Linked DNA regions of Mytilus edulis. The protein of the gene in region 1 purifies or fractionates together with the protein of each later gene. This does not show direct contact. Links are inferred from orthologs where the notes say so. Each region holds a gene or a part of one and is shown in the gene's direction. Other genes may lie near its edges.

What was found. Proteins that work in one complex are often made in the same cells at the same time.
Region 2: the proteins of renin receptor-like (region 1) and coiled-coil domain-containing protein 115-like purify together in Homo sapiens (affinity purification with mass spectrometry; 3 studies listed by BioGRID and IntAct, counting the BioPlex papers as one, with this or other methods). This does not show direct contact. The link is inferred for Mytilus edulis from reciprocal best matches to the Homo sapiens genes ATP6AP2 and VMA22.
Region 3: the proteins of renin receptor-like (region 1) and V-type proton ATPase catalytic subunit A purify together in Homo sapiens (co-immunoprecipitation; 3 studies listed by BioGRID and IntAct, with this or other methods). This does not show direct contact. The link is inferred for Mytilus edulis from reciprocal best matches to the Homo sapiens genes ATP6AP2 and ATP6V1A.
Region 4: the proteins of renin receptor-like (region 1) and V-type proton ATPase subunit F-like purify together in Homo sapiens (affinity purification with mass spectrometry; 3 studies listed by BioGRID and IntAct, counting the BioPlex papers as one, with this or other methods). This does not show direct contact. The link is inferred for Mytilus edulis from reciprocal best matches to the Homo sapiens genes ATP6AP2 and ATP6V1F.

What each region holds. Positions count from the first base shown.
Region 1 is NC_092346.1:95,455,061-95,462,256, forward strand, and holds the start of renin receptor-like, read left to right. Parts: upstream 1-4,188; 5' UTR 4,189-4,301; coding exon 4,302-4,362; intron 4,363-7,196. UniProt on the Homo sapiens protein: Multifunctional protein which functions as a renin, prorenin cellular receptor and is involved in the assembly of the lysosomal proton-transporting V-type ATPase (V-ATPase) and the acidification of the endo-lysosomal system.
Region 2 is NC_092356.1:55,207,647-55,215,352, forward strand, and holds the start of coiled-coil domain-containing protein 115-like, read left to right. Parts: upstream 1-4,682; 5' UTR 4,683-4,755; exon of another isoform or gene 4,756-4,761; intron 4,762-7,706. Other genes in the region: F-box only protein 42-like, read right to left, coding at 200-366, 1,134-1,237, 1,642-1,881, 4,181-4,331. UniProt on the Homo sapiens protein: Accessory component of the proton-transporting vacuolar (V)-ATPase protein pump involved in intracellular iron homeostasis.
Region 3 is NC_092348.1:77,322,713-77,330,082, reverse strand, and holds the start of V-type proton ATPase catalytic subunit A, read left to right. Parts: upstream 1-4,346; 5' UTR 4,347-4,422; coding exon 4,423-4,425; intron 4,426-6,757; coding exon 6,758-6,854; intron 6,855-7,370. Other genes in the region: uncharacterized protein, read left to right, coding at 1-59, 1,313-1,330. UniProt on the Homo sapiens protein: Catalytic subunit of the V1 complex of vacuolar(H+)-ATPase (V-ATPase), a multisubunit enzyme composed of a peripheral complex (V1) that hydrolyzes ATP and a membrane integral complex (V0) that translocates protons.
Region 4 is NC_092345.1:53,515,527-53,523,407, reverse strand, and holds the start of V-type proton ATPase subunit F-like, read left to right. Parts: upstream 1-4,857; 5' UTR 4,858-4,929; coding exon 4,930-4,980; intron 4,981-7,007; coding exon 7,008-7,089; intron 7,090-7,881. Other genes in the region: transmembrane and ubiquitin-like domain-containing protein 1, read right to left, coding at 718-1,556. UniProt on the Homo sapiens protein: Subunit of the V1 complex of vacuolar(H+)-ATPase (V-ATPase), a multisubunit enzyme composed of a peripheral complex (V1) that hydrolyzes ATP and a membrane integral complex (V0) that translocates protons.

The sequences.
Region 1 (7,196 bases):
TTTTAGAAAAAATAGCTATTCGAACACACTGTTTTTGTGATTCATTAGATAGGTATTTCACTTGACCCATATATTCTATTTTCATCTTTTCGTAATGTCATGTTTTACGTTATAAAGTCAACCTGTAGCTTTGATATATAAAAATGATAGAATCTGAAGCGAGATGATATATCAAATACTTTTGGTTTGTACGTTTTAAAGACAAAATATACACCTCAAACATGCCCTAACATAAAAAGGTGCACTTGATTTTCTCTTTTCGATACAATCGTTACCTATTTTGGGAATTTTTTCTTGATTCACATAATGAAAGGGCAGACACGAAACTTCTGAACTAAAAGATTGATATGTTCTCCGTCCCTCGTTAAAAAAAATTAAATAAATCGGAGGTTAAGCATTTTCTACATCCAACTTACAGATACCCATGTCGTCGACTTGATATCTTAGTGTTTTGCATTAGTATGTAATAGATAAATTGAAAACTTATGCAAATGGTGTTTTTTTTAAAAAACCACTTCGTAATTAAGAAGAAAATTGTCGTTGTATTTGTTTCTATTAACTTTTAAAAATTTTGTCACTATAGTAAACATTACAGTAAACATTTATCGCCTTCTCTAACAAAGAGCTTCGATTCTTTTGTTCTATGTCAAGAGTGTTTCCGCCTGCATATTTCAAGACAAATTAAGATTTTAATCTGCTTGCTCTGGAACCATACACATGGGCTCGATTACCGAATATCCATATGTATTATTAATGTTTTTCATGCTCCATTAATTGGCATAATGTTTTTCTGGTCTGGGCGTACGTTCGTCCGTTCGTCTGTTTGTTTGTCTGTTTGTCTAGCTTCAAGTTAAATCAACTTGAAACTTAGTACACATTTTCCCTATGGTATGATCTTTTTAATTCTAATGCCAAATAACAGTTTTATCCCATTTTCACAGTCCACTTAACATAGAAAATGATAGTGTAGATGAGGCATCTGTGTACCAGGGACACATTCATGTTTCTTCAAATTTTCGTCGTATCGCTGTCAATTTGTGTTAAAATTTTAACGTCGTTATCAATAAATATTTCATTGTTTACGAGAAATATGCAAAAATTACTATCATTGTCATAAATCCCAAATACGGCCAATTATATTATAGTTTAACATATTTATATCCGCCAACCGAGCCCCTATTGCGATCGACAAACTCAACAAAAAGCTTTCAATACAAATACGGATATTTCTTAGAATTGACGGTCATCCTATAAAAGTTACGGTCGTTCTATATAAATTACCAGTCAGTCTTTACAAATTACGGTCATCCTTGTTATATGTTACGGTCATCTTGAAAATATTTTGATTATGATTTACGGTCATCTTCAAGATTTTTTCAAATCGAATTTCCCGTTTCATGCACATTTCTCGGAAGAAATTAGTGATTTCCGAGTGATTCTTTTATTAATTTTCATCGTTTCAATGTATGATTTGTAAAGAAAATGATATAGAAACACTTTAATAGACAATACAGAAACTGACCTAATTTTTCATCCGACATCTTGGGATGACCGTGAATGCAGTTACGGTCATCAGCTTTACCCCAGTGAGTATGGTGCTATTAAAAAAATTGGCTGAAAAGTTTGGCATACCATAGTTTATACATTCCCATGATAGGTTGCTTTTGTCAAGTATTTTATACATTTTATTGTCGATACCTTGACAATTTATATGGTACCCTGATCACAGCTGTCACAGCATACTGCTTTTTGTTTCCAAGTGCAGGCTTTATTGCAGGATCCACGTGGATATTTTTGGTGGACCAGGGTTTGACTCTAGTGCATACAAGTTTGTTAAGAGAATGCTACATAGGTATGTCAATACCAGTCTATCATATTTGATAGTTTTAGTTTTTCTTGTAAGTATAATCATTGATGTTGTGTGTATATTTGATTTACATGTCTCTTGGTTTGATATTGTTACTGACCAAGATTTGTCTGGTGCCTCTTTATTTACTTTGATGTTTCTGTTTGAGCTTATAGTCTTGCAGTTGACAATTAAATCTAGCTTGACACAATTAGCCAAAAATAATATGAGGGTGGTTGTTTTGAGTACTGCTTTTACCGTGTTCATGGTGTTTGAGACAGTGGTAAAAGAATAGGAAAAATAGCTGGAAGTTAGTAAAGATAGACTTACAATATTAGTTCTTCGTCCCTTGGGCAACACAAGGGTACAGGTAACTTATGTTGGACAAGTGTTAGATATGCCTGAGTTTCAGTGATGTTCTGACATGGTGTTTTTAAGTTTCTTTTCAAGAAGCCCTAAAATTTGTTGCCATTAGCTATTATGTTGTCTGTATGTTTTGACCATTTTCAGTTCGCTTGTAGTGAATGCCCAGATATTTAGCTGTTCAGTGAGTAAATTGAAAAGAAAGTGCATAAACAACAGAAATGCCCCTAAAAAATGAACATGTGACCAAAATCACTATCCATAAAAAAAAATGTATAGAAATCGAGGTATCTATAATACTAAAATTACGAGGTCCAATTTGTCAGCCGTCATCACGTAAAAACGACGAATCAAAGAATTCAACTTTATATATAACTAATATAGTACTAAGGTGTAGATTAAAAATTACACCACTCCAGGCCCTTTTGTTTTCCACGTAATTAATATTGCCAATAATTAAGAAGTTCCGGGTCGAGTCCGATACCGATACCAATAGTATATTCACCTGTTACCTATTACCTTATCTGTACGTTCCGCATCTGACAGGCGCACCAACAAACGGTGTATTCAGGATTGATATGCTATATACACGGGTCATGATCACAGGGTTGACACTACTAAATTGTCGAATTGTTACCTATTGTACTATTTTATTTAGTAAGACTTTCTAAGATAACAATACGAATACTGGACTAAAAATAAGCCGTATATAGGTACAGTTTTCAATTTGTTAGCGGGCATGACGTAAAACAGCGAATCAAAGAATTCAACTTTATTTATAACTAATATAGGACAATGCTGTTGATTAAAAAATACTCCATTCCAGGACCTTTTGTTTTCCAAATAATTAATATTACCAAAAAAATAAGTTACAGTTCGACGGGTTCAAACAGAAAAATTTGAAAGCAGAGAAAACTGTGTATCTTATAATCGGCATGACTTTATCAGATGACAATACTAATACTAAAATAATGCTTGCGCATAGTTATATACTTTAATTCAGTCACGGACCCGCGATATCACGGGTGTGTTCTAGTACTAACAAAGAAAACAGGTTAACTGACAACTGGTCAGTATAGAAGAATCCAGACTGTCAAATTAAATTACATTCAATTTGTAACTGATAATTGTTCCGCAACTGACAAATTAAATTGATACGTTCTAATTAACAATTAAAATATGTGTAAAGTTCCACTCTATTTTTTTATTAAAGTTAATACGGTTGGTATTTTACCGAAATAAATCTAACATGACGGTACCCAAATTGCACCTATTTTGACCATTTTTTCACCTACGTTTTTTTATGATAAAGAAAAAAAAATCCATTCTGTGTTTATTTTGTAGCCGTATCCTTCTTTATTATATAGGTACACCAATTTGATTGTTAATCCATATGGAATCATAGAAAAATTGGTCTAAACTGACCCCCAAACCATCAATAATTCTGAAATGAGGAGTATCCAAATTGCATCCATGCTTAAATTCGCACTGTAAAAATTCTAATAACAGAGCTTTTGTTTAATTTCTTCAAATATTTTGAACAACTGGATGTTAGTCCATGCTTACTCTTTATTTTTTTTTATAACTGGAGACTTGTAACATATTGTATTTGATCATTTTAAAAAGATGACGTTTTGATGACGTCGCATGGTGACGTTTCAGTACATTTTGATTTTTCAGTAAACACTTCACCTGTTGATAAATACTGTGAACGTTTTGTGCATATCTAAATAGTTTTACCTATGTTGAAAGATGTGCGTGGTATCAAATCATAAAAATACAAATTGTTTACGGTCTCTAGGAAATCTTGTAAGATTATTTATACTATTTTGGCTTAATAGGTGCAATTTGGGTACCGTTACGTTATCTGTCTATTAGGAAACAGAATATCAAATAGGGCCGAGTCGTTACAACATTAGTGGGGCGACCACGTAAGGGGGCGAACGTGTTTTTGAGCCGATTCTTTATTTTTCGTATGTGTACTTATCCGATCCGCGGCTACGTTTCATGTTCGGAATTCTTTGAATTTACATAATATTTAGTTGGTAACTCAAGAGACATCCGAACGAGTATTATCACATGAAAATTCAACATGGCTGTCAAAGTGTTGAGTTTTCGACCGAAAACCTATATTTTGCCCATTTTAAGCATTTGTGAGTAACAATTTGTGAGAGACAGATTTAATTTAGCTGTTGAATTCCATTAATTCTTATTTGACTCTTAATTATTCTGCATTAGACTTGTGTGACACATTTATCTGTACTAATTTCCTGTTCAACAGCGGTACCTCGAATTACCGGATAACAGTGTTATTATCCGAATAACTCATGTAATTACCGAATAACTCTTCAAATATCAATATTAACACATTTAAGTGACTTTTAAACATATATTATTGAATAAAATTATAATAGAAGTGTATTTTATAACCTAAAAATAAAAAAAAAGTTGCAGGTAAGTTAATATTGGTCATTATAAAATTATGGATATCGGTGTGTACTTCCAAGATGGCGACCAAGGAAAACGTAAGAAATGAAGAAAAGAAAGATTGCATATATGCCTTCAAAGGAAAACGCTATGAAAATATAGTATTAAATAATTTACTGTATATACAGAGAATTGTCTAATAATTGTTTTTCAGAAAGGATTTGAAAATTTAACCAGTACATCAAAGCAATGCAATTACACCAATCACTAATTACTTTTCATAACAATTTACTCAACATTAAATAAAATGTAATTAAGAATTTTCACATATTCAATTCAAATCTAATCAAAAAATTATTATAATTGATTGTTTTAATAAAAACAAAGCTTCTGAATGGATGATTTTTATGTTTATTCTAATAAAATTTTCTCAAAACTAAATATAAGATTTTCATTGGCAAATATAAATGTTTTTACAAGTCACTTTAATTTTGTATAAAAAGCCATGAATACATGTGTGCTGTCTTCCATTTTCAAAATGGCTTTATATCCGTGTGTTCAATGTGATGAAGAATGTGTTGATTGCACCATTCAATGCAGTTGTTGTGATCGTTGGGTTCACAGTGCTTGTGTCCCAATGGATGATGCATTGTTATTGGCCTGGTCAGATGTGTCTCTAAAGTTCCTTTGTAAGGACTGTTGCTTTACAGACAACAAGTATGACATGGCCAAGGCGTTAGAAAGGTAAGTAATTTTCATACATACCTTTTATTATAAGCTATACAAATGCGAAATTGGGTTTTTTATATTATTAATAGAGAGTGAAACATGGTACAAGAAAAATAAAATAAAATATTTAATTTCAAAGAAGACAATCTTTCACCTAGTTTATTATATTTCATTTATTTCTTATTTCATTTAAAATGTATTTAATTTACTTAATTTAAATTACTAAAAAATCAGAATTAAAAATAATAAAATAATACTCAATTAATATTCTTCTAAAATTAGTATTTACGTTTTTTTTATTGCTACTTTTATTTATTTTCATACATTGAATAATTTGAAAGTGATAATGAGTTAATTAGTTCCAATAAACAAAATAATCATTACCTCACACTTCTGTTAGATTGTTAATTGGGTTGTTGTTTACTGACACGTGCCCATTACATAATTAATCATTAAGAGATAATGAAATTATATTACAGTATGGACACTCTGCATTAAACAGGCTTGTGACTGTCTTGGTATACCAAGGCTGCATTACCAACACCAATAATTATAATAATGAAAAATAGAACACAAATAAATATTTACAACTATATACAATATGTACATCCTATGTTAGTTTTCTGTCAAAGGGTAATAATGTTCAATGTTTCACCAATAATTTTTGATTATTTAAAATAAAAAATTATTAAAAAAAGATATTTTAATAAAGTTAATTTGAGTTTTCCTGTTAAAAAAAGCTTTCTTCTGGCAAATTCTAATTTGTAAATTATAAAATATGTAAGAACTTTTGGATTATTTTAGTCATTCGATGTTAAAAAAAACCCTCTTCTTAAACAAAATACATTGCACGTGGAGTCATTGAGAAAATAGTTCAGTTCATTTCCTAACTTTGTTAATAAACCAACTGACCGACTTCCTCAAAGCTACTAAGAAGGCACGGTAACCCTCTTCAGTGAAATGTATCCCGTCACGAGCTTCGTATTCCACCCTATAAACATTAGTTGGCTTGAAATAATGTACAAAATGATTTTCAAGAGCTATGCGTTTCATCATTTTGTTCACTATCTCTCGGCGAACTGTATGCTCATCGGGAGTGCAATACCAAGGCCCGGACCGCTTCATAACTGACATGAATACCACTGATACTCCTCTCGAAAGACAAGCATAAATGAAAGTATTCATGTCTGATCTGAAGGCAGTCTCATCAAAAGAATATCTGTCACAATCATTGCTGCCTTACGGCTAGGTGTTGCCACTTCGTGATATTGTTAATGCTTGGGTATTTTTACTGTTCTTGTATTGAAAAGTTTTTTAGTATGTGATTAAAAATATGAAATAAGCCATTTCCTTATATTGCGTTACCTTCTATAAATCAGAAATATATCAAGTTAAGAAAGCACAAATTATACCACATATTTTCTATTTAGAAGAAACACCAAAAAAATGATCACAACTGTATTGCGTTACTTTCTACAAATCAGAATTTTATATATATAGATATCTTATAAATAAGAATGATTATACAACATGTTATATATTTAAAATGAACATAAAAAAACACTGTATTGCGTTATTTCCTATAAATCTTTTCTATTATATAAGAAATTTTGTATATACAACTCGCCGATATGGACGCAGAACCCGTAGCCGATATCATAGACGCCGATTTAGCATTTGATATGAATTCGACAACACGATCCGACAACGTGGTAGATGAGAATTTATGCCCGTTCATCGATGCTTCCGATTCACAGAATATACATCCACTGTCAAACGGTTGCCTACAGAGCTCATTCTTGGAAACTAATGAAGTGATCGATCTGTTATC
Region 2 (7,706 bases), on another chromosome or scaffold:
TATAGATTACACAAGGAACACATGATATTCTCCAAACAGGAGGATATAGTGTCTTTCACAATAGAGCACATGTTGCCTGCTGAATCAAGAATTACTTACCCGATACCAGGAACACTGGACCCTCCTAACAGAAGCATAGTGTCTTTAACAATAGAAGCTGAATGGCCTGCTTTAGAAGATGGGATTGAGATAAACTTACCCTATTCCAGGCACACTAGAGCCTCCAAACAGAAGCATAGTATCTTTGACAATAGAAGCTGAATGGCCTGCTGTAGGTGGTGGATGTTCTCTAGAAATACTGGTCACTAGGTACCATCTGTTGACCTCTGGTTTGTACATATGTAATTCATAGAAAAATCCTGCAGCCTGGAAAAGGTGAAACATCAAACATGTCAAAATCTAAATCTTTTTTTACTTTTCATTTAATGACAAAAAATTGGTATTTGATTTAATACAAATAAACCAACACTGAAGCCTGAATTTACACATTTACTGTCATAAATTAAAATATTTACTATTGAAAATCAGCTTTCAAACCAGATACTATGGATTCAATTATTTTCACCGTTGTCAATTTTCGTGGATCAAGGAAAACTTGCACGTTTGTGGATACTTAATTTTGTGGTTTTGCTGAAGTCTACATACATGCCAATCATTCCAATAGGAAAATTGTCATTCATCTAATTTCGTGGTTCACCTATACCCACAAAAATTAGTATCCAACGAATAATAATGAATCCATAGTACATCGGTTTTCCTCATTGTTGAAGGCCTGACTGAGACATATATACATTTTAGTTGTTAATTTCTGTGTCAAATGGTATCTTGTCATGCTTTGTGGAGAGTTGTGTCATTACCTCAGTCTAAACATATACATCAAGCACATGCAAATTTTATTTTTGAACCAAAATAAAAAAAAAATCTGAACATGCTATAAGACAAATATTCATACTACAAGTCAAGACTGGCCGACCATTAATACATTCCATAAAGAAAGAATTACCAACAATAGATTATTTTCATATGAATAGTTTTAAGTTTGCACAGCAATCTGTAGCTTTATAAATAGCTTACACACAACAAAGTATGCTTTTTTGTATTTCCTGATTTTTTTCGAATTCGTTATAACCCACCTGGTGTAAGGGATAAGGAGTAGGATGACTCCATCCACCAAATAATACCAAGCTGTCCTTATATACCACCATACTGGAACAGGCTTTAGGTGATGGATAGGTTCCTGCAACAAAAACATTTGTTATATGATTAACAAATGATTAAAGATGTTCTCTTTACTCCTTGGCTAAAAATGTAGGAAATCTTCAATGATAAATGTTATATTTATAGTTGGAAAAATAAAGTCAATAGTGTAGGCCCCTTTTTATTAATCCTTGCAGTTCAACATTATATTAATAATTACTGTTAGTTGCTCATTTGTAGTTCAATCATAATTTTTTCATTTAAACTTATTTTCAATATCAAATAAAACAACATTAACAAAAAAACCATACTTTGACTTTATAGCATTGAGAAAATCAAACATACTATTCTAATTTCCCCATAATCAATGTAACCATGTGACACTGCTACACGACCCCATAGGCCAAAACAGCTTGTAAAATCCAAACTTCTACATAAAATTACCCATTGCTAATGGCCTAATCCATTCTCTCCTTGCCAGGTCAAACCTCCAGAGGTCATTAAAGGTCGTGTTCATTGATGTACATCCACCAAATACATACAATGACTTGTCATAATAACAAGCACAATGGGAGTATCTTTCTGTTACCCGTATGATATCGATCTCTGGTGCAATTTTTGTCCATTTCACTTTACTCTCATATACACAGTTTTGAAAGGTCTGTCTTAGTTGTCTTGTCACACCTTTGATATAAAAAGATTATTGTTGACAACATGGTTAGTAAAATTGAAAATGGAAATGGGGAAACCCTATAATTGCTTACATCTAATTCATTTGAACTTTGGTGGATAACTGTCTCATTGGCAATCATACCACATCTCCTTTATTTCAATATTGACATGATTGATAAATCATCATTTTTGTTATTTTAATCTATTTAATAATTTATGGCAATACCTGGCACATCAAAACACTGATTATACAGTTAAATAGAATGTGATCTACATTGTACATGTTGTAACTCAAAAAAACTTTCTTAAGGATTGTCATGATTGTTTACATATTCATCATTGGTTGGGTATTAAAATAACAACAAAGATTCCAATGAATTCAAAATCAATATGAAGAAACATTATATTGTCGCCCTTCGCTTTATTTTATTATCTTCTATACACCTTATCCCTATTTCAGACCTGTCAACCAAACTTGATAATAAATTCAAAAGTATTACAAAATTCTTCATGTGAAAAATTATTAGGTGTTAAAATCGACAACACACTTAACTGGAAAAATCAAATTGACCAAGTTTGTGCTAATAAGCCTACTATATCATCCAGAACATACCTTCTTTCTAAAATAAAGAATTTTTTAGATATAAATGCAAGGAAAACATATTACAATGGGTATATTCTTCCCTTAATTGACTACTGCTGTATTATTTGGGGTGAATGTAAAAATGAACGGATAACAAGAATTTTAAAACTCCAAAAAAGGGCAGCAAGATTAATTCTAGATGCAGATTTACCCCCCTCAGCCCCCTTATTTAGAAAACTTGGGTGGATGACAGCTGACAATAGAAAAAAATACCACAAATATTTACTTCTATATAAATGTATGCGTATGGAAGCACCAATGTACCTAGTTCAAAAGTTTAAACTGAAATCAGATAATAATCCTTACTCCTTAAGCATGTTAAGAGGTGTACATGTCACTCAAGGTAATCGGATAGTTCCTAAGCCAAAAGCTGAACTATTTAAGAAATCCTTTGCTTATTCTGGATCAGTTTTATGGAATGGACTACCACACACAATGCGTAAAGCTCAAAACACTTTTACTTTTAAGCAAAGTATCAAGAAGTACCTAACACAACCCTGATAAGAAATGTTTGCTACAATGTATTTGTATATTTTTTAATTTTTCATTTTCAAAATTTGATTTTTTGACTACATGTATACATCTTAAACAGCATTATATCTTATGTTAATAACAATACATTGAACTACAAGAGTGTAAATTAACTATGTGTAAATATCTGTTTTGATTGTATTGTAATTTGTACATGTATGTGAGGGCCTCAGGGAAGATTAGTTTATTGTAACTAACTGAGTTTACCCTCTTTAAATAAAGAATTTCTTATTATTATTATTATTATTATTATTTGGAGATCTGCACCTCTTGATCCGAGCATCTGCTATGCTTAAACAATTGAAGTCATACAACAATCACTTTTCCATTGTAGGGTCAGAAATTTTATGATCTTTGACAGTTTTACATCTGAGGATGACCTTTGCAGCTCTAGGGGTATGTTGTTCATTATCCATTTGATATTTTGTTAGTCTAAAAAGTTGTCTGTGATTTTTTTTCTTCTCATACATGTATAATCATGATAATTCTCAATATTAGAATAAGATTGATTGATTGCTTATAATCCATTGGCAAATTATTTCATGCACATCTAGGACTAGTCCAAATAATTATGACGTCTTGAAAGGCTATAATAATTTTTTTCTTTGACGCGTCGAAGTAAGGCGTCAAAGAAAAAAATTAGAATAGCCTTTCAAGATGTCATAATTATTTGGACTAGTCTAGGACATGCACAAATTAACAATAAATAATATAGGAAGGTTGTTTAACACCTTATCACTGTTTGCCTGCCATTACTGGACTGTTGTGGACATCACTGAAATTTATGCTGAATTTCTCTTAAAATTCAGACGTCATAATACAAAATATCTGACAGATTTTCAAATAGTGATAAGGTATATAGAGATTAGAAGCTGTCTGGATGAAGGTTCAGGGCTATTGCATCTCTGGATCTATTCATTATAATACCAATGTAAATATAAGTCTGAAAAATAACAGTTTCAGAAATATAAAAAGGCTTTCATTAAGTATGAGGAAAATCGCAATCGAAGTCAGGTTTTATAAATTAAGGAAATAATCTTTTAGTTTTATCAAGGATTTGTATAGTAAGAAGGATTGGAATCTCGTGGGCTTTTGCATAGACTATACCAATCCTTGGTTTTATTCATGTTATTTTACCTGCAGCTAACCGGTACCAACGACGACAGACAAGCATGCATGACTTGACATCACGATATGGTGAAACCTTGGATAAAATAAACTCTAATATTTCTTCAGGCAGATCATCAATATTCACATTAGATGAACAAGTGTCGAAATCCATTTCCATTTCCAAACATATGTAAGGAATTTGGCTAGCTGTACGAATGCCAAACCTTGTAACATAAGATGCATGAAAAGTAACGAAAAGCTCCGAATGAAAAAAAAAAGAAATTTCGGACTTAACAAAACCCTGACAAAAGAAGAACCGACTGTAAAAGTGCGATTTGTTATTTGAATATTGAGGGTCAACTATTGATGGGAGATACTCGAGATACATTAAAAAAATATATTTCATAACAAATGATTCAGTTTAGTCAAACTTCAAGACATGATTTAGAAGAATAAACATAAAACAAAACAAAAATATATTTATCACCGGAAATATGATATTTAATTTGTTCCCGCGTGATTTTCCTTCGATACTTCTCGCGAGTTTACCCAAAATGACTTAAATCCTATTTCGACCTGTGCAAAAATTATCTTGATGTATTGTAGGTGTAAGTCTTATAACTGTATCACCCATTGCTTTGATTAATGATTAATCCAATTCTTATTCCAAAATAAAAATACAGTTGGTAGGGTAGATTGTCATGATAAAAATACCTAAAGGCATGTGTAGGATTTAATAATGTCCTCCATGAAAAAATGGCCACAGACCACAATTAATTCCTCTATCAGTTCTTTATAACCTTTTGCATCATTAAAAAAATTGCACCATGCACTTTTGTCCAATTTTTTGTGTGTGTAATGTATTGTCCTAGTCCAAATATATATCCAAAATTCAGAAAGATTGAAGCAATCACTTTTACAAATTTAGCCAATACACATCCATACCCCTATTGACAAGTCAAGAGAAGTTCCGAAAACTGTAAATATCACCTTTTTGCACTTGACCTAATCACTCATTCCATATAAAAATCAGTTAAAATACAACCTCCAAAAATTTATTTGACCTCTCTTCTTTCATTTCCACCCAAAAAGATTTAAGGAATGAGTGAGGAAAGGAAAGAAAAAAAATTAAGGAAAAATACACTCTAATTAAAAGGAACTATATTCGTGGACAACGAAAAGCGGGGTCATTAATTGTGGTCTTGGGCCAAATGTCCACTGGACACATTTTGACAATATTTACTTATTTAAATGTGTCCTGGACACAATTTCCTATGAAAACATGTCCTTAGGTATGAAAAAGTGTCCATGCACATGGACATTATTCACTACCATAATATTGTCCAGGTGGACATTTTTTTCACAGGACATTGTGTCCGCCAGGGCACTTTTTGATATGATTAAAGTATTAAATGATTCCATTGCCTTGTTATTACTGGACGCATTTTAACTTTAATTATGAACTTGAATTAATTGTTACTTTGACATAAAAATTGTCTCATTGGCACTCATACCATCCTTATCTTCATATCTATTTTTTTTAATATAATTATATACATGTTAGATGCTGTTCTATTTTATTTTCCTTTGAAGACACAATTAAATAACATTCACTACGAAAATTTGTTCAGCAGATGGACCATATTTCATAACTGTTGCTGTAAAATGCTGTCCACTTAAATGACAATATTTTATGGCAATGGACATTATTTATTATGCCCCACCTACGATAGTAGAGGGGCATTATGTTTTCTGGTCTGTGCGTCCGTTCCTTCGTCCGTCTGTCCGTCCGTCCGTCTGTCCCACTTCAGGTTAAAGTTTTTGGTCGAGGTAGTTTTTGATAAAGTTGAAGTCCAATCAACTTCAAACTTGGTACACATGTTCCCTATGATATGATCTTTCTAATTTTAATGCCAAATTAGAGATTTTACCCCAATTTCACGGTCCACTGAACATAGAAAATGATAGTGCGAGTGGGGCATTCGTGTACTGAGGACACATTCTTGTTTTCTATTGCCTTCTTATCTGACATAATAAATATTACAAAGTTCTTCATATTTGATTTTACACTTCCTTCTTATTGTTATTCTTTCATTGTCATAACCATTTGTTGGGAATTTCTTAGAACTTAAATTTCTCTATATTCACTTCCATCCATTATTTATTTGTTTACAATAGACACTAGACACTAGACAATAGACAATATTTTATTCGCACAAACACATTTACATTAAATGGTTATGGCATACAAAATTAAGACAATAAACTGACAATAGTTAAATTGTATATTGATCAATATACAAATTACATTTGTATATTGATCAATTTCTCACCAATCCTTCATATTTTAATTAAAATTTAAGTATAATAAAACTTTGTAATGACCTTTGTATTACTTCCCTTAGAGGACACAATTTAATAGCAACTACTATGAAAATTTGTCCTGTGAGTGGACACTATTTCATGTTGTTAGCAGTAAAAATTGTCCTTTTGAGGGACACCATTCCATGGCAATGGACATTATTAAATACCAAATTTCAATGAAAAAGTGTCCATGTGGACACTTTTTCATAGGACACAATTATGTCTTACATATGCTCTGAAAGGAAGTAAGAAAAACCAGTTGTAAATAATTTTAATTGTATATTCACAGGCACTTGTTTCTGTCAATGTGGGGTTTACTATCCATACCAGTACAAAGATTTTTTGTACTGGTATGGATAGTAAACCCCACATTGACAGAAACAAGTGCCTGTGTGTATATTTTTGCGAACGTTGTAAATGTAATTTGTAAATAGCCAAGAGAAAACTTTCTGTATTGCCCGACACTGTGTAAAGTTTTCGTGCAGAACCATTAACATTCAGCTTTGAATCTGATTCCTTACCTGGAAGAAGAAAAATGACAGACAATGAACCATCATTTTAGTTATTAATTTGAAATTGCTCTTCTTCAGCTAACAGTACTAGTTTGTAAAGAGACAATGATCAACAGGATAATAAATTTTTCATGAAACAAAGGCTTGAGATTTGACCAAAATTGTTAAGAAGGAAGGAAAATGCCGCAATAAGCATGAACATGTGCAAGTCTCACGTTAATCATGTTAATTGGGGGTGGGTCTTTTCAAAGTCAAACACCACTGCACACTGTTGAACACCAACCACTACATTGTACTAAAAACACTGATATTATACAATAAAATCATAAAATCATGATTAATCGCAATCACCAATAAGCAGATGTGCTATTATGCCTATATATATATATATACAGATTGAATTAAAAAAGCTTGACACGCGTCGGTGAATGAATTAAAAAAGCTTGACACGCATCAGTGATAAACAGATTAATCAACTAAACAAAGTCAACATCAAAAACTCTTTAGAAAAATAAATAGTCTATGTAACTTTCTACATGTAAACATAAAATTACCAAATTAAGGAAAAACAATAATTAACAGTAACAAAATGTGCTATATAAAGATGAATTAATATAGCTTGACACATGCAGTGATAAATAGATTAAACAGATCAATCAGAATAAACAAGTTCTAAT
Region 3 (7,370 bases), on another chromosome or scaffold:
CTGATCCCGTGCCATCCGATGTAAGACAGCTTCTAGTGGGCGAACAGGAAACACCGGAGGTAAGTCATCTATGCGTTGCATCATATGACCAATTCCACAGTGTTTATGACAAAATAGGTGTTCTTATCAAATCAATACAAAATACAAAAGGGAATATTTGTCAATATTTTAATGCAATAACAATATAAGTTATAAAAAATACATACACAATCTCAATGGGTTGGTTGTACATGTAAATAAAATGAACAAAACAACGGCCTGTATACATGCATGACATATAACATGAATACTAATATGATATCACACTTTGTATTCTGTTTGAAATTGATTGTTTTTATTTAAAAGGTGAAATAAGTAGTAATTGCCTTTTTCGTCCATTCTCGATCTAAGTTAAGTCAATACCCACCAAAGCTTAGAATAAAATCAAGAAGGCGAAAAAAGAAAATAGTGCATGCTTGTGTATTCGTACATGTGTATCTGTAAACACATTTAAATATAAATTAAATATTGACATGATAGAAAATACGAATCATTTCTTCTTTTGAATATGTCGTCAAGCTCAATTTTGTACATTTTTTATTTGTTTTTACCAGAATAATTTCAAAAACTAAAACAAAATGATCTGCTAACCAATTAATACTATCCATTAGAATAACACGTACATCTGTTTATATAGTGAGGCATGCTTAACGTCCAGTGGCAATTATTACGTGCATACTGAGGACGAGAAAATCTTTAAAAAATATACAATAGGTATATGTTATATGAGTAAGCACGTCATGTATAGGTCGGAAAATTTAAACCAACTCTTGAAAACTATAGTAGATAGACCAGAAAGTTGACTTTCAACAGACCTCTGAAAGAGTGGTTGTGATGGTCAAAAAATTGCATATATATCGGGTACATGATCGGGTTCTTGAATTTCATGTTCCTAAATGCATTGTAATTATGCACCGTTCTATTTTTTTTTAATTCAAATTGATATATAGATAAAGATTCAATTTTAGACAGTTTTATATTCTCGTGGGATTTTGTCTATGTGTGTTACATTTTAGTGTTATGTCGTTGTTCTCCTCTTATATTTAATGCGTTTCCCTCTGTTTTAGTTTGTTATCCCGATTTTGTTTTTTGTCCATGGATTTATGAGTTTTGAACAGCGGTATACTACTGTTGCCTTTATTTACTGTTAAGCGGTTTCTTAAGTTTCTCAGACAGTAATATACAATGCAAGTCATTGCAGAACGCAACATCTGCAAATATTTCATGTATTTTGATAACATTTTGTCAAAAAAATAACATTTATTTTTTTCAGATTATTGTCAATAATTGATGATGAGGGACACGTACACACGATCTGAAGAAATCAGTATTGATGGACCTTTTAATCCAGATATGGAAATCAGTCTTGAGGAACTTTATTATCCATCCATCTTCGAACATATGTGTTGTGAAACTTTTTTTATTCATAAAACATTGCAGAAAATATTGTTGAGAACACATCTTAAAAGTAAAATATCAAAATCTGGCATCAATCGTACTTGGATTGACGGCAGAGCTTAACGATTACTATCGGCAATTATTTCTAACGTGCAGTTGTCAAACAGATACAATATTGTATAACGATGTATAATATTTCATTTCTCTTCTCTTCGTTTTGTTTGTTTTTGTTTTTATCATGTTATTTGATTGGTCTTCGTTAAATTATACACAATAATCCTATCAGATTAACTTATTAATATCAACATGATCAAAGCAAACATGATTTATAAATTGTTATGTTTACACACAAAATACAAGATATAATATTTAATCTTTATTTCAAAATAGCGTTCATAATGATCAAGCAATAAAATATGTACTTATATACAACAATGAATTTATTTGGTTTTTTTTTTCTAATATTTTGCATGCATAAAACGTGGAATTATACAGAATATAGGTTAACTATTGGAGCGTGTGGCATAGTTGATCTAGTTATAATACATTTGAGAAAGTTTGAATTTTCAAGCATAAAAGGTTATTCATCTTTATCTTTATAAAATGTTCTATGAAAGTATAATCTTTCTTTTTTTGTCAATGGCCCTTACTACTTATTATTATATTCCTAATAGGAGATGAGGATGAGATGGATATTGAAGATAATATAAAAATATATTCGATTGTTTTGATAGTCATTGAGACCCTTTTAACCCGAGCAACACGACAGGTGCCACATGTGGAATAGATCTGCGTATCCTTCCGGAGCACCTGAGATACCGCCTGTTTTTGATGGGGTTCATGTTATTAGGTTATAAAAAATATGAACTTCATTTATATTCTTGTTTTTACCACTTAGAAGTGATACATTTGAATGTGTTGTTGTCCGTCTCACGCCAGGGGTTATTACATTTTGGTTGCATGTTTTCTTGAGAACTTCACTCAATCCATCAAGATGCTATACACTGTCATGCTTTAAAAGATTTAATGTTCAAAGTTCAACTTTTGTGACTTTTTAGTGTACTCCATTCGTATCTGTGGATCGAAGGAAGCAATACATACCTCAGATAGTCTTATATTAGTCCTTATTTTTTCAAATCTTTCCATGTTTTTTAAAAACGAAAAATAGATATGAGTATCGATACTCTCATCATACTCAAGGTAGAAACATGTGTTACAAGAGTATCGATACTCTCATCATACTCAAGGTAGAAACATGTATTAAATGAGTATCGATACTCTCAATATGCTCATGGTAGAAACCTATTTAAAAGAGTATTGATACTCTCAAAGTAGAAAGCTGTTTAAAAGAGTATCGATACTCTCGAGGTGGATACCTTTTCAAAGAGTATCGATACTCTCAATATACTCATGGTATAAAACTTATTTAAAAGAGTATCGATACTCTCGAGGTGGATAACTGTTTAAAAGAGTACCAATACTCTCAAGGTAGAAAATCTTTTAAAAGCATATTGATTCTCTCAATTTAGAAACCTATTTCCAAAAGTATCAATACTATCATTATGTTCATTGTAGAAACCTGTTTTGAAGAATTTCGAATCTCTTAAAGTAGAAAACAGTTTCAAAGAGTATCGATACTCTGTCAGAAAAAAAACTCTAGTCTAGATGCTAAAAAATGGTTCTAGAAAAAAAAATCACCGGAGTTTTCTAACGTTGGAGGTAGGTACCGCTTTATTGAGTATTGCTACTCTTAAAAAATGAGAGCAATATTGATACTCTTTAGTAAAAAGAGCTATAACAAGAAAAGTAATACTTTGTGGTATTATAAATGTTACTCATAGTACTAGACCGTACTCTTGAAGTAAAGAAATAAAAGAACCGCATGCAACAAAGAGTGTCAATACTCTTTAGATAAGACTGTTATAGAAGTAAACGTACCAAATAATGTGGAGAAAATCTGTTTTATACAAATTGAAGTAACTATATTTGAGTATCAAAACTCTCTTACAAATAAAATGAAAAGAATCTGACGAATTTTATAGAATTGATGATTATTTTTGTATCTAATGTCCCTGTTGTACAAATTAATGTACATATTCTTCATGTAAAAAGTTAATATCAAAACTGGGCCAAAATGGGAATTATTTATTTTCCCTTTTTTATTTTTAACGTGTTATATGTTTATGAGAATAAAATATTCGTATTCGTATTCGTGGATTAAATTATTATAACTTCAAAGATAATTGACTTCTCTACAGTTGAATATTCAATGCTTAAATAATTGGATTATATAAGTTATAAATTGTTTATGTAATTGACAACAGCTTTTGTCTCATGATAAACCAATCAACTAGAAACTTTATTAAATCAATTACGAATAAGTTTTTGTGGATCGACTCAATCATTCAAGTGCTCCGGGATGGTACCAAACAGATCCTGCTCACATGTGGCACCCGTTATGCCGGTCATGTTAGTATAAAGTCAATATACATGTGTTCCTCGTCTAAAAAACCTAGAAATCACTCTAATTCGGTAGGTAACATTCGGGAAAGGAGGACGAATAATCTATCAACGATGTTTCTAAGCTGATTATCATTATGACAATTGAAGTCAGTCAAAATCCGGCGAACTTAAAAGCGAATCATATCAGAGACATATAATACAATTGTATTATATGTCTCTGATCATATTATTTCACTTTTTCATTAGATTGAGAGAAAAAAAACTTTTTCTTAATATTTTATATCACATATTTAATGCCACTTTGAAGTAATTTCATAAGCATTGATATTTTAAAGGGATTACTTTGAAATTGTTATAAATTTACAACTGAATTAATTTATCCGGATCGGTATTCGTTATTCGCCGATAAAGTTTTATATTATTACAAAACCGCTTCAGCATTTTTATCAAACCGGAAGTCGTTTTCTCTCAAGACATCGATTATCACATGATAATTTTACAAATCCAATATTTCATTGCAAAATGGTAAGTATTTATTTAAGAATTGGCTGAATACTACATATGTTAAACAGTCACCACAAAACAATTGAAGTTCTACAAAGATCGACTAAGAAATGTGTTATTCATGAATCCTAAATGCACCATGTAGCCACTCGAAGTCATTTGCCGGTTTCTTGGTTCTACAGTCATGACAGTTTACATATACAACCACTAACCATTGATGAATGACCGCATTTGAAAGGTCTTTAAACTATCTATTTTCTAGAATTCTCATAACAGATTTAACTTGTCAGGTTTTTACCAGGAGATTGAATTAATGTTGTATTCTTAATGACTGTAACAGTGTAATGTCCAGTGGCAACTATTACATATATATTCATGATGATACCAAGTTAAAAATAGTGATTTTATAGTATGTCTTGTTTTTTATACTTAATTGAGGCAGTTGCTTCTAGATGAGATCCAAAAGGTTATTATAACAGGATTTTCCCATTTATCCCCATGTCATGATCATCCTTTTCGGTAATCAGATACACATTTGCAAGAAATCATCTGCTCCTTCAATACAAATTTGCAGGAAATCAGATGCCTTCATAATGTTTCTGAAAATTTTGAAAGCTAACGAAAAACTGGGAAGGGTTTTATCAACCACTTAACTTTGATGTTGAAGGTCTTTCAGGTCGTTGATCATGTTGATAGAAATATCCAAGAGTTATCAAAGGTACCATGCTTATAATTTAATACGCCAGATGTGCATATTGTCTACATAAGACTCATCAGTGATGCTCAGATCAATAGTTATAAAGCCAAACAAGTACAAAGTTGAGCATTGAGGACCAAAAATTCCAAAAAGTTGTGCCAAATATGGCTAAGCGAATAAATGCATGGCCATGGGATAAGAAAATCCTTAGTTCTTCTCGAAAAATTAATATTTTTGTAAACAGGAAATTTATGAAAAAAATTACCATCTACAATTATTTATGCTTCTTTAATTTTTGGAGTATAAAATAGGGAAAAAATCATATTTCTAGCATACACAAGCTTAGACATGTTAGACGGTACAATCTTATCTCGAAACATAATTTAGGTAGAACTCCAGACATACATGTATGTCTTTTGATGATGTTGATTCACTTTTGCCTTTCAGGAATTATATCCATGATACCTAGGTCATTGCCCCAAAATTACACCAACTTTTTCACACCAGTTGACAGTTGAAGCTATCTGGGGCCTTGTTCAATTAATATATTGTGCTTAAAACTTTTCGTAGAACTGACAAAACCATTGTAAACACATCAAACAAAGCAATTAATGACTTTCATTTGTCTTGTAAAAATTGCTTCATAAACTATAAAAATGTTCAAATGTTTGCTTTCCAAACTTTTTTTTCCCACACAGCTCATTCATGCTGATGACCTTTGTTTTTTTTTGCGATTCAGGAAGTTGTCTAAACGACTTAGTTTTTTTTTGGGAATGGACTCAATATAATGATATACATGTACATGTATTGAGCAGGTGTATTAGAAAATGTACATTATGTTGATTCTATGCCATAACTTTAGAACTCACTGGCTTTCAAATTGGAATATTTTGTTACTGATGACAAAATGATCAAAATGAAGGCTAAGTTTAATTGTGATATTTTTTCAATTCTGCCGTGCATACATTGTATATGGTGTGGTCCTAAGTTGGTTTGAAAATACCATTTCCTGTTGTTTCTGTGCAAAAACTTAACATGCTTAAGAATAATTTATTCATTGCTTTTCAATGTTGTTTTTTTTGCCCTTCATTTCTTTATCATAATGACACTATCGTGACTATTAAATATAATATCAGATAGAAATTGACCTTATGCCAATGAATACCAATACATCTGTTAACAGTTGAAAAATCTCTACAGAAAGGCTGTAAATATTTAAAATTGAGTTGTTATGAGAACCCTACAAAAGGAACCAAAATTTATCTTTTAATTCATATTTGAATGCTCCAAAACCAATTAAAGTCTTAGCTTATATATGGAGTTATATATGTACATGTATAGTTCCATTGCATAAGGACACAGCTCATATATAATGAAAACCAGACATACTGTCATTTTTCCTCTTACATGTCTTAAAGCAATGTCATATTTGTATCTTTCATATTTAAATGCAGATGTCTAAAATATAAAAAAGGAATGTTTACCATATTTACATTTTTACAATTTTCTTTATTGAAAAAAACCCCAATCAGTATGGTAACATTAAGATAAAGTGGGTTGTGAAAATACTCCAAATACTAGGGTATAAACAATTATTAGCTAAGAAACTATGAGCAAAAATATTCACTACAAATGTCTATAAAATTGTATTTTTAGGCTGGTGGTTTAGACAGAGCTAAGAGTAGTCTACCAAAGATTAAAGATGAAGAAAGAGAATCTATGTTTGGCAATGTGTTTGCTGTTTCTGGACCAGGTAACCTTTTTTATTTACCATGTTAACTTTAGTTACATGTATATGATGTACAATTCTGAGAAACCTAAATGTATCAATTGACCCACAGCATATAATTTTCAAGAAGCATGCTCTGAGGTATAAAATCAAGGTCACGAATTGTTTAAATGCTGTGCTATCATCAGTCAGGGGACTTACTGAAATAAGTGATTTTTAAATCACTAATTTGAGTAGCAAATTCGAAGTTTTGTCACAAATTGTGATTTTGTAATTTTACCAAAATTTTAAACACATCTATAGGTTTAAATAATATTTTTTCATTTGTAAAATTGAAAGAAAATGAATTTTTTGCTTCTTTTAAGTAGCAAGGTTTATGCCTTTGATGCTATCATTTAGCAAAAAAATCTATTTTAGTTGAAAAAATGCTGTAATAATGGCTTGACATAATGAACTGATACTTTCTTAAAAGATTTTTCCCAGCAGTGGGAGTATTTTTCCTGTAAAGTTCAAGGCTTCATCTTTCATATTATGTAATAA
Region 4 (7,881 bases), on another chromosome or scaffold:
CATGTTTGTACATGAATTAGGCTGTTAGTATTCTCTTTTCATTTTTTTTTACATTTGTCATTTGAAGTAATGAATGAGGTTTTATATGTTGCTGTGTTACATGTTTGTACATGAATTAGGCTATTAGTATTCTCTTTTCATTTTTTTTTACATTTGTCATTTGAGAACCTTTACAAGTGTGATAGCTGACTGTGGAATGAGTTTTACTCATTGTTGAAGGCCATATAGTGACCTATATTTGTTAATTGATGAGTCATTTGGTCTATTGATGAGAGTGCTCTCATAAATTTGCAATCATAATGATTATGCTAAAAGTCTTATATAGAACTACAATTCAGCTGGAGTTTAAATTGTTCAATAAATTAGAAATACAAACTGTTCTACAGTGACATGTACATTATTTTGGATAATTTTCAGTTCTTCAAAGTTGATTACAGTACTATATAAAGTATGTATTGAAAATTATAAACAGAGTAAGCAACAAGGGTGTTAACATATTTGCACTTTTGATATTAAGCTGAATTTTATCTACAAATAACTTTAGATCTGCTCTAAATAACCTTTTGATGTCAAGTAACAGTGAGTCACTTTTTAATTATGATCTAAATTGGTTAAAAAACTTGTGATGTCATATTTTACAACAACTTGTGTGATTTAAAGTAATGGCAGACAAATATGCATACAAGTGTAAATATGTGTATTATATATATGTCATACCTTCTAAACTGTTCAATTGTATCCTCTAAAGATGCTTCAACATTTCTCTGAGTGTCATTTAGGTATTTCAGTCGTATCCGAACTCTATCACTCTGACTAGAATTAGTTTCCGATTCAGAGGAAACATTTATTTCAGCACTGTTCAAATTTTCAGTTTCATTTTTAACAGACTCAGTTGTTTTATTGGATTCATTGTTTTGTAAATTTGATGGAAGTTCATTGTTTGATGAATTTGATGGGTTTCTGTCATTTATAACAATGGTCTCTGATTCATGATTTTTATTTTCTTTTTTTGTCTCTATAACTTGATTTTTATCAGAAAAGAATGCAACCCTTCTACGTCTCAGTTCAGTTTCTGTTGTAGGCAAGTCATCACTATCTTCATTTCTGTCCTCTAACACCCTATCTTCCCCTGATTCTTCTGTAATCACATTTTCGTTAGATGATTCTTTTTTGTCTTTTGTCTTTGATACATCATCTGTTTGAACTGGAATTTGACTTACTGCTCCTGTCACTTGTTCGTTTACACTATCAACAGAGGAGGACCTACTGGCATTGTCAGTCTCCTCCTGAATGGATGTGTCCCCTGTTGATTCCTCACTAGAGGTAGAACTTACAGCAGAACTATCACTTGCTTCAACACTGTTAGTCTGTTGCGCATTTCTATTCTGTCTTCTTGTGAAGTCTATTACAATGATACTAAAGAAAGGTAGTTCTTGAATATTTGTTGAAAACCATGCAATACAGAGAAGTAGAAATATTAGAAAAATGGTAAAAACAACAGTAACTTCATCTCCTATCCCTTCAATAAGTGGCATATCTGTGTACAGGTGGTACATACACTTTGAGTACCTGAAAATAAATCAGAAATCTAAATTAATAACACCAATGATTATCTTTGGTTAAATATCTCATTTCTCTGTCATCTTTTATTTATAAAAACATTAACGGTACAAATTTTCCTGCACCAGATGCTTATTTCGACAATGTAACTTTCATAGACTTGGGACAATTTAGAGCTTGACATATACATTTGTAATGTGGACATCTGTATTCATTTGGTTGTGAGAAGCGATCAAGATGTAGACTGTACGTACATTGGTTGCTTTTGTCATTGGGTAGATGTCTCATTGATGAATACTGGTATTCACCAACTACAGGAGATCCAAATCGTATAATGAATGTCAAAACAATTTGTATATCAGCCTATCCCTGTTGGAAATTTTCATCATTGGACAAGATCATCAGATATGAAAATATAACTTTTTAACAAGTGTAAATTAATGTGGGTCAAGGGGGACTGTTTCTTTTTTAGAAGATATTGGAACAAGTGTACAAACTACTTTGTGGATTGACCTATTTCTTTAAAAATATTCGCTACCAGTTTGTTTACTGTTTTCGTAAATATTGACCAACAAATCGCTTCGTCTTCATCGACACCTGTCAAACACAACGCCACCTATAGTTTATCAATCTGGCTTAAATTATTTTTTCCTATGAGCAAAGGCAATAAAGGAGAAACAAAAAGGAAACCAGATGGCAACAATAAATTCATTGTCGGTATACGGAGAAAGACCCAAATTTTACGGAAACCGTGCATCCGCAAAATTAATGAAATATTTTATGTATAATTTTACTAAAAAATGCAATACATCATTTTGACCTTACAACAAAGCCTATACTATTATATGGGTGTGAAATTTGGGGATATTTTAATCCCTTTACTGCACATTTATAAAAAAGAAAACTTATCGGTGGATACAATCTACTCTAGGATACTTTGTGAAAAACTTCATACTAAATTCTGAAAATATATTTTAGGTATAGAAAAAGTACAAACTTTGCAGTTTTGTCTTAATTATGACGTTTTCCTCTGCATTATGACATAGTCAAACATGTTTTAAGATATTTGCATCGTTTTTAAGGTATTTGCATCATTTCCTTTGTTAAAGGGCGCATATGATTGTTCTAAACTTGCTATTTGCAAGGACGTATAACTAACATACGTCCTTGCTATTTGTAACAAAAAAAAAAAAAAACTCTTGGTATGGATCAATTAATATTTTAAGGGAAAATATGTCAGGCATATAAAACCACATACCAGAAAAATATTCAACATTTAAGATCATTTAAATTACACTGGGGTCTGATTGTTAAGGGATACTATACTGCATTGTTGAAAAACAGCTAGATATACATACCTTCATGATTTGATTGATATAAAAATTAACAAGTATGATTTAAGATCACAGGAAACAGCAGTACTCCCAAGAGTTCGAACTACTAAGTATGGCTTAAGATCGTTTCGCTATAATGCTACACAAATCTGGAATGAGCTACCGAACCATTGTCGAATGGAAACATCTTTGGACCAATTCAAAAAATTGGTACAAACATGGGATCCAAGTAACAGCTCATGCCAGTGCAGTGCATGCATAATTGTAGTGTTTATGCCTGTTTTATTTTTACTTTTATTTTTTGTGTGATTATATGATTTGTGCAATCTTATTATTAACTTGTGCTATGTTTTAAGTGTACTATATGCTTTTAACTTATATATGTCATTTATGGTATTTTACTATGCATTATATGTTTAAAATTGTGTTGTTTTAATGACTTTTGTATGTGTGTATTGTATTGTGTGTGTGTGTGTGTGTATTGTATTTTGTTATTAAGTCGATTTGAAAAGCTCACTAGAGCTTGTGTTATGTAGTTTATTGAATATCGACTCTAAATAAAACTTTGAAAAAAAAAACGACTTTGGTTTTGAAAATTATTTGTTGATAATGCGACTTTTTGAGCAAAGGAAATGTATTACTAGATTAAGAATATCTGCTCACAAAGTTGCAAATAGTGAATCTGGCAGATACCAGGGTTCTCTCCGACAAAATCGAATTTGTCTCAGGTGCACCTCGAGTGAGGTTGAGGTTAAATTTTTTATTTAAATGTGACATCCATTTATTAAAAAGAGAGGAATTGATGCACTATATATTAAAATCATGCCCAAACTTTCAATATTTACTACATACTTATAACAAATCAATTTGGATAATGAATAATGAGGATTCCAATGTACTATTTGCATTTTATAAATATAAGTTATAAAAATTGAAGAATCGAAAGAAAAACATAATCTGCAATAACTAATTTCAATTTAACTCTTGACTTTGATATGATTGGGTACCCCGTTAACGGCCCGCAGAGACCCATAAGAGTAATTTCAAATTCCGAGTCTAGCACCGTCCCTTGCTGAGCCTTGCTGGCTGGACACAGAATCTATAATATTAAAAATAAGTTTTTTAAAATATATTTTAAATAATTTAGGAGTTTGACTCATCTGCACTAAGTACAAGTAGGGGGTTCCCTTTTAATAAGCAACTTGGTGTTTACTACAGATTAGTCATATTTTAAAATAACCTTTATTAAATATATGCTTGTTATTTACAGTATACCTCATAGACTATGTATTATATGTCTCTGATAGAACTAACAGAAATACTTGTAAACATGAGGCATTTGTAACAATTGCGTTTCTATATGGTTTCTTGTACTGGACTGAGACTACTATAACACAGTTTATTATCAGTGGCGGATCCAGGGGGGGGGGTTCCGGGGGTGCGCACCCCCCTTTATTTTTGCCGATCAATGCATTTGTATCGGGACATATGTTTTGCACCCCCTGCACCCCCCTTTCAGAGGCGGATTTAGAGGGGGGGCCAGGGGGCCCGGCCCCCCCCCCCCCTTTTTGAGAAAAAATTTTGTTGCTTATATAGGGAATCATTGAAGCGTGACTGGAGCGGGGCCCCTCTTAGGTCAGTCAATGGGCCCCCACTTATGAAAATTTCTGGATCCGCCACTGCCTTTGCCCTGGGTTAGCACCCCCCCCCCCCCTTTCGAAAATTCCTGCATCCGCCCCTGTTATTATTATAATAGTATCAGTACTGAATGAAGCAACCACAGATTTCAATATGAAATTTATTTTATAATTAATCTTGTGTGTTTGACTGTGTTGCTGGGAACAGTTAATCTAACTATATATCTGTTCCTGCCTGAGCAGACATAGCCGACATAATTATATCTATGCCTTGAGCTATAGTCACGATGTTATCACCCAATGCGTAACAATATATCGGACTAAGTAACATAACCTGATCCGGGAATTGGTTTTGATAGTATTCACTCCTTGCAAAAATCGTATCATATGATGTGAAAATGGCTCATTCTGCTCAAAAAGGAAGATTAATTGCAGTAATTGGGGATGAAGTAAGATTAGAAACTTTATTTTATGTATATAAAAACATTTAATATTACACAAGTAGTTCCGCGAGGTAGTATACAGTTCGCAAAAAACTCTCCTTACTTAATATCCAAATAGAGTAGCCCATGTCCAACCCCATCTGGATATTATGGTTACCCATGGCATATCTGTATATTTATCTCTGCCAAAATATGTAATGCTCTCTTAATCTTACAGTATCAAAGTATTATTTTGGACTGTTAGTTTTGTAATTGTTGCCCTTTCTGTATGATGTTTAATTTTGCTTTCATTATATATATTTGCATGCTTTTTCATTTTTATTTGTTAATATTTGCATGTTGCTGCATGATTTTTTATGTGATAGTCAGTCAAAGAGCTCACCAGAGCTCATGTTTTTGTCTGTTATTATGTATATATATGCTGACTAAATAAAATATAAGAGCCTCACAGTCACAGATTGTCACCTAGTGCATTTAGTGATACAAATTGGTGTTAAGTTAGTTAGTCCAAGTCATTATGACCAGGTAGGCATCATATCTAAAAATTTAATAGCTTTTCAAGACATCATTATTATTTGGACGTGTTACTTTGTACCTGTGAAAGGGGAAGAAGTTAAAGCAAAAATTTAGAATACTTTATCATGTTTATGATGTCATAATAGACCAATTTCGAGTTCATCTGTCACCAGAAAAAACTAGTCAATTATGCACGCTTTTATGACGTCATTTACCAGATAGAGGGGGTCGCCTGTATCCCTGCACTATTAACCTTCATCAAGCGTCTCAGTGATTGTCATTGTTCAGGATAAACTACAAATAATATTTGTTTTGTAAGTATGCGGGAATTTCTCGCTACATTGAAGACCTGTTGGTGACCTTCTGCTGTTGTTTTTTTCTATGGTCGGGTTGTTGTCTCTTTGGCACATTCCCCATTTCCATTCTCAATTTTATTAATTACAATTCCCAAATGACAGCAGTGCTGATTTTCTATAAATTATAATGATAATTTATTTTGCCTAATCATTCATACAGTATAACATTATAGTTTCTCAACCACTTGCTCAACATTGGAATGGAAGTGACGATGCCCCTAAACGCACAAATGATGTTCACTAAAACCAGACTTTTTGACGGAAATGCATCAAACTCGAAAGTTGTCTATTGAATTATTACATTATTATCCAAACAGAATAGATTTTTTTTAAAAAAGTATATAAACATTTATTGTAAAAAAAACTCAACATCCATGTTATGTGATCTTATGTCTGGTAAAAAAATCAACTTAATTACGGAAATTTTTTATTCTTTTTCCTATTGTCATGATTGTCATGGTCATTAGGAATTTAATATATGAAGTCATTTTCAATGTAAATTTCTTTTCTTCGCTTTTTAAGATATACATGATATAGTTTTATTAAAACAATCATTTGTTTCTAAAAATAGCTACTACTACATGTACTATACTAAATTGACTTATTACAAATCTTTGTACAGATATAAAAATCTGCCCAATTGTATCTGAGGTGAGTTTGTCCAGGTTACCCAATATCAATATATCATATGAGGATCTTTTTTTAACCTGTAAAGACAGTTAAGTCCAAGACCTATTATTGATGACATAGTGATAGCAAAACACATTGGCGGATCGAGGGGGGTTCCGGGAGTTGGAACACCCCTTTTTTTTGGGTGATCAATGCATTTGAATGAGAACATATAGCTGGAAACCCCCCCCCCCCCCCCCTTTACTCTTGGTTGGGAACCCCTTTTTAAAATGGCTGGATTCGCCCCTGAAACAACAGGCCAATACCACATTAAGGCTAACTAGACTTCTGACCATAACTGGAACTTTATATCACAAACTGGAACTTAAACTCCATCTCCATGTTTTGTTACACTCATCATGCTCATGAAAGCTTGATGACAACTGGTTGTAGAAAATACAATGTACATGTACAATGTTTAATGTATTCAATGTTATTTAAGCTGCTTCATGTAATTTTGTCCAGAGCCTCTAATCAGATATTTTTTTACAGGATACCTGTACTGGGTTTTTGCTGGGTGGAATTGGAGAGTTGAATAAAAAAAGAGAGCCAAATTTTCTTGTTGTTAATAAAAGTAAGTATTTTAGAAATTTGATTTACTTTTAATTTTTTTTTAACAAGTTTTATTACCGGTATATTGTATGTAGATATAAGAAGATGTGGCCATGGTATGACTGCAAATGAGACAACTATACATGCAAGTCATAATTTGTAAAAGTAAACCGTTATAGGTTAAAGTACAGTCTTTTACATAGTGGGTCTCATTTGGGTCTAAGCGTGACGCAGGATTGACGATTTTTTTGTAAGTGTGACATGTGAAAGTCAAATTATTGTGATAAAGTCTAGCAGGACATGAGAAATTACAAAAAAATGAGAATTGCATACGTACATAGTGTAAGCAGGATACAGGAATCTGACAATGCAGTAAGCAGGATTCCCCCCCCCCAATGAGACCCCCAACATAGAGCCTTGGCATACTTATAAGTTACATGAATCTTTTAACTATCTTGAGGTCTAACCATGCTAACCCATTCCTTACTATGCCTTACTTTAACATTGGTTAAATTTCTAAACCTTATCCTAGATTTAACATATATTTTTTTCACTCCTGAAAAGTTAATGCCAGAGGGGAGCTATAAAAATCAGGGTTGGATCCAGCCATTTTGAAAAGGGGAGTTCCAACTATATTAATATCGCCCCATTCAAATGCATTGATCGTCCAAAAAAGGGGGAGGTCCAACCCATGCACCTCCACCCTGGATCCACTACTGAAAATGAATATAACCATTCAGTCACAATACTGATAGAAGAAGGATACCTTGAGGTTATAATGATATCAACTACTTTTAAATTTCTAGAAATACCA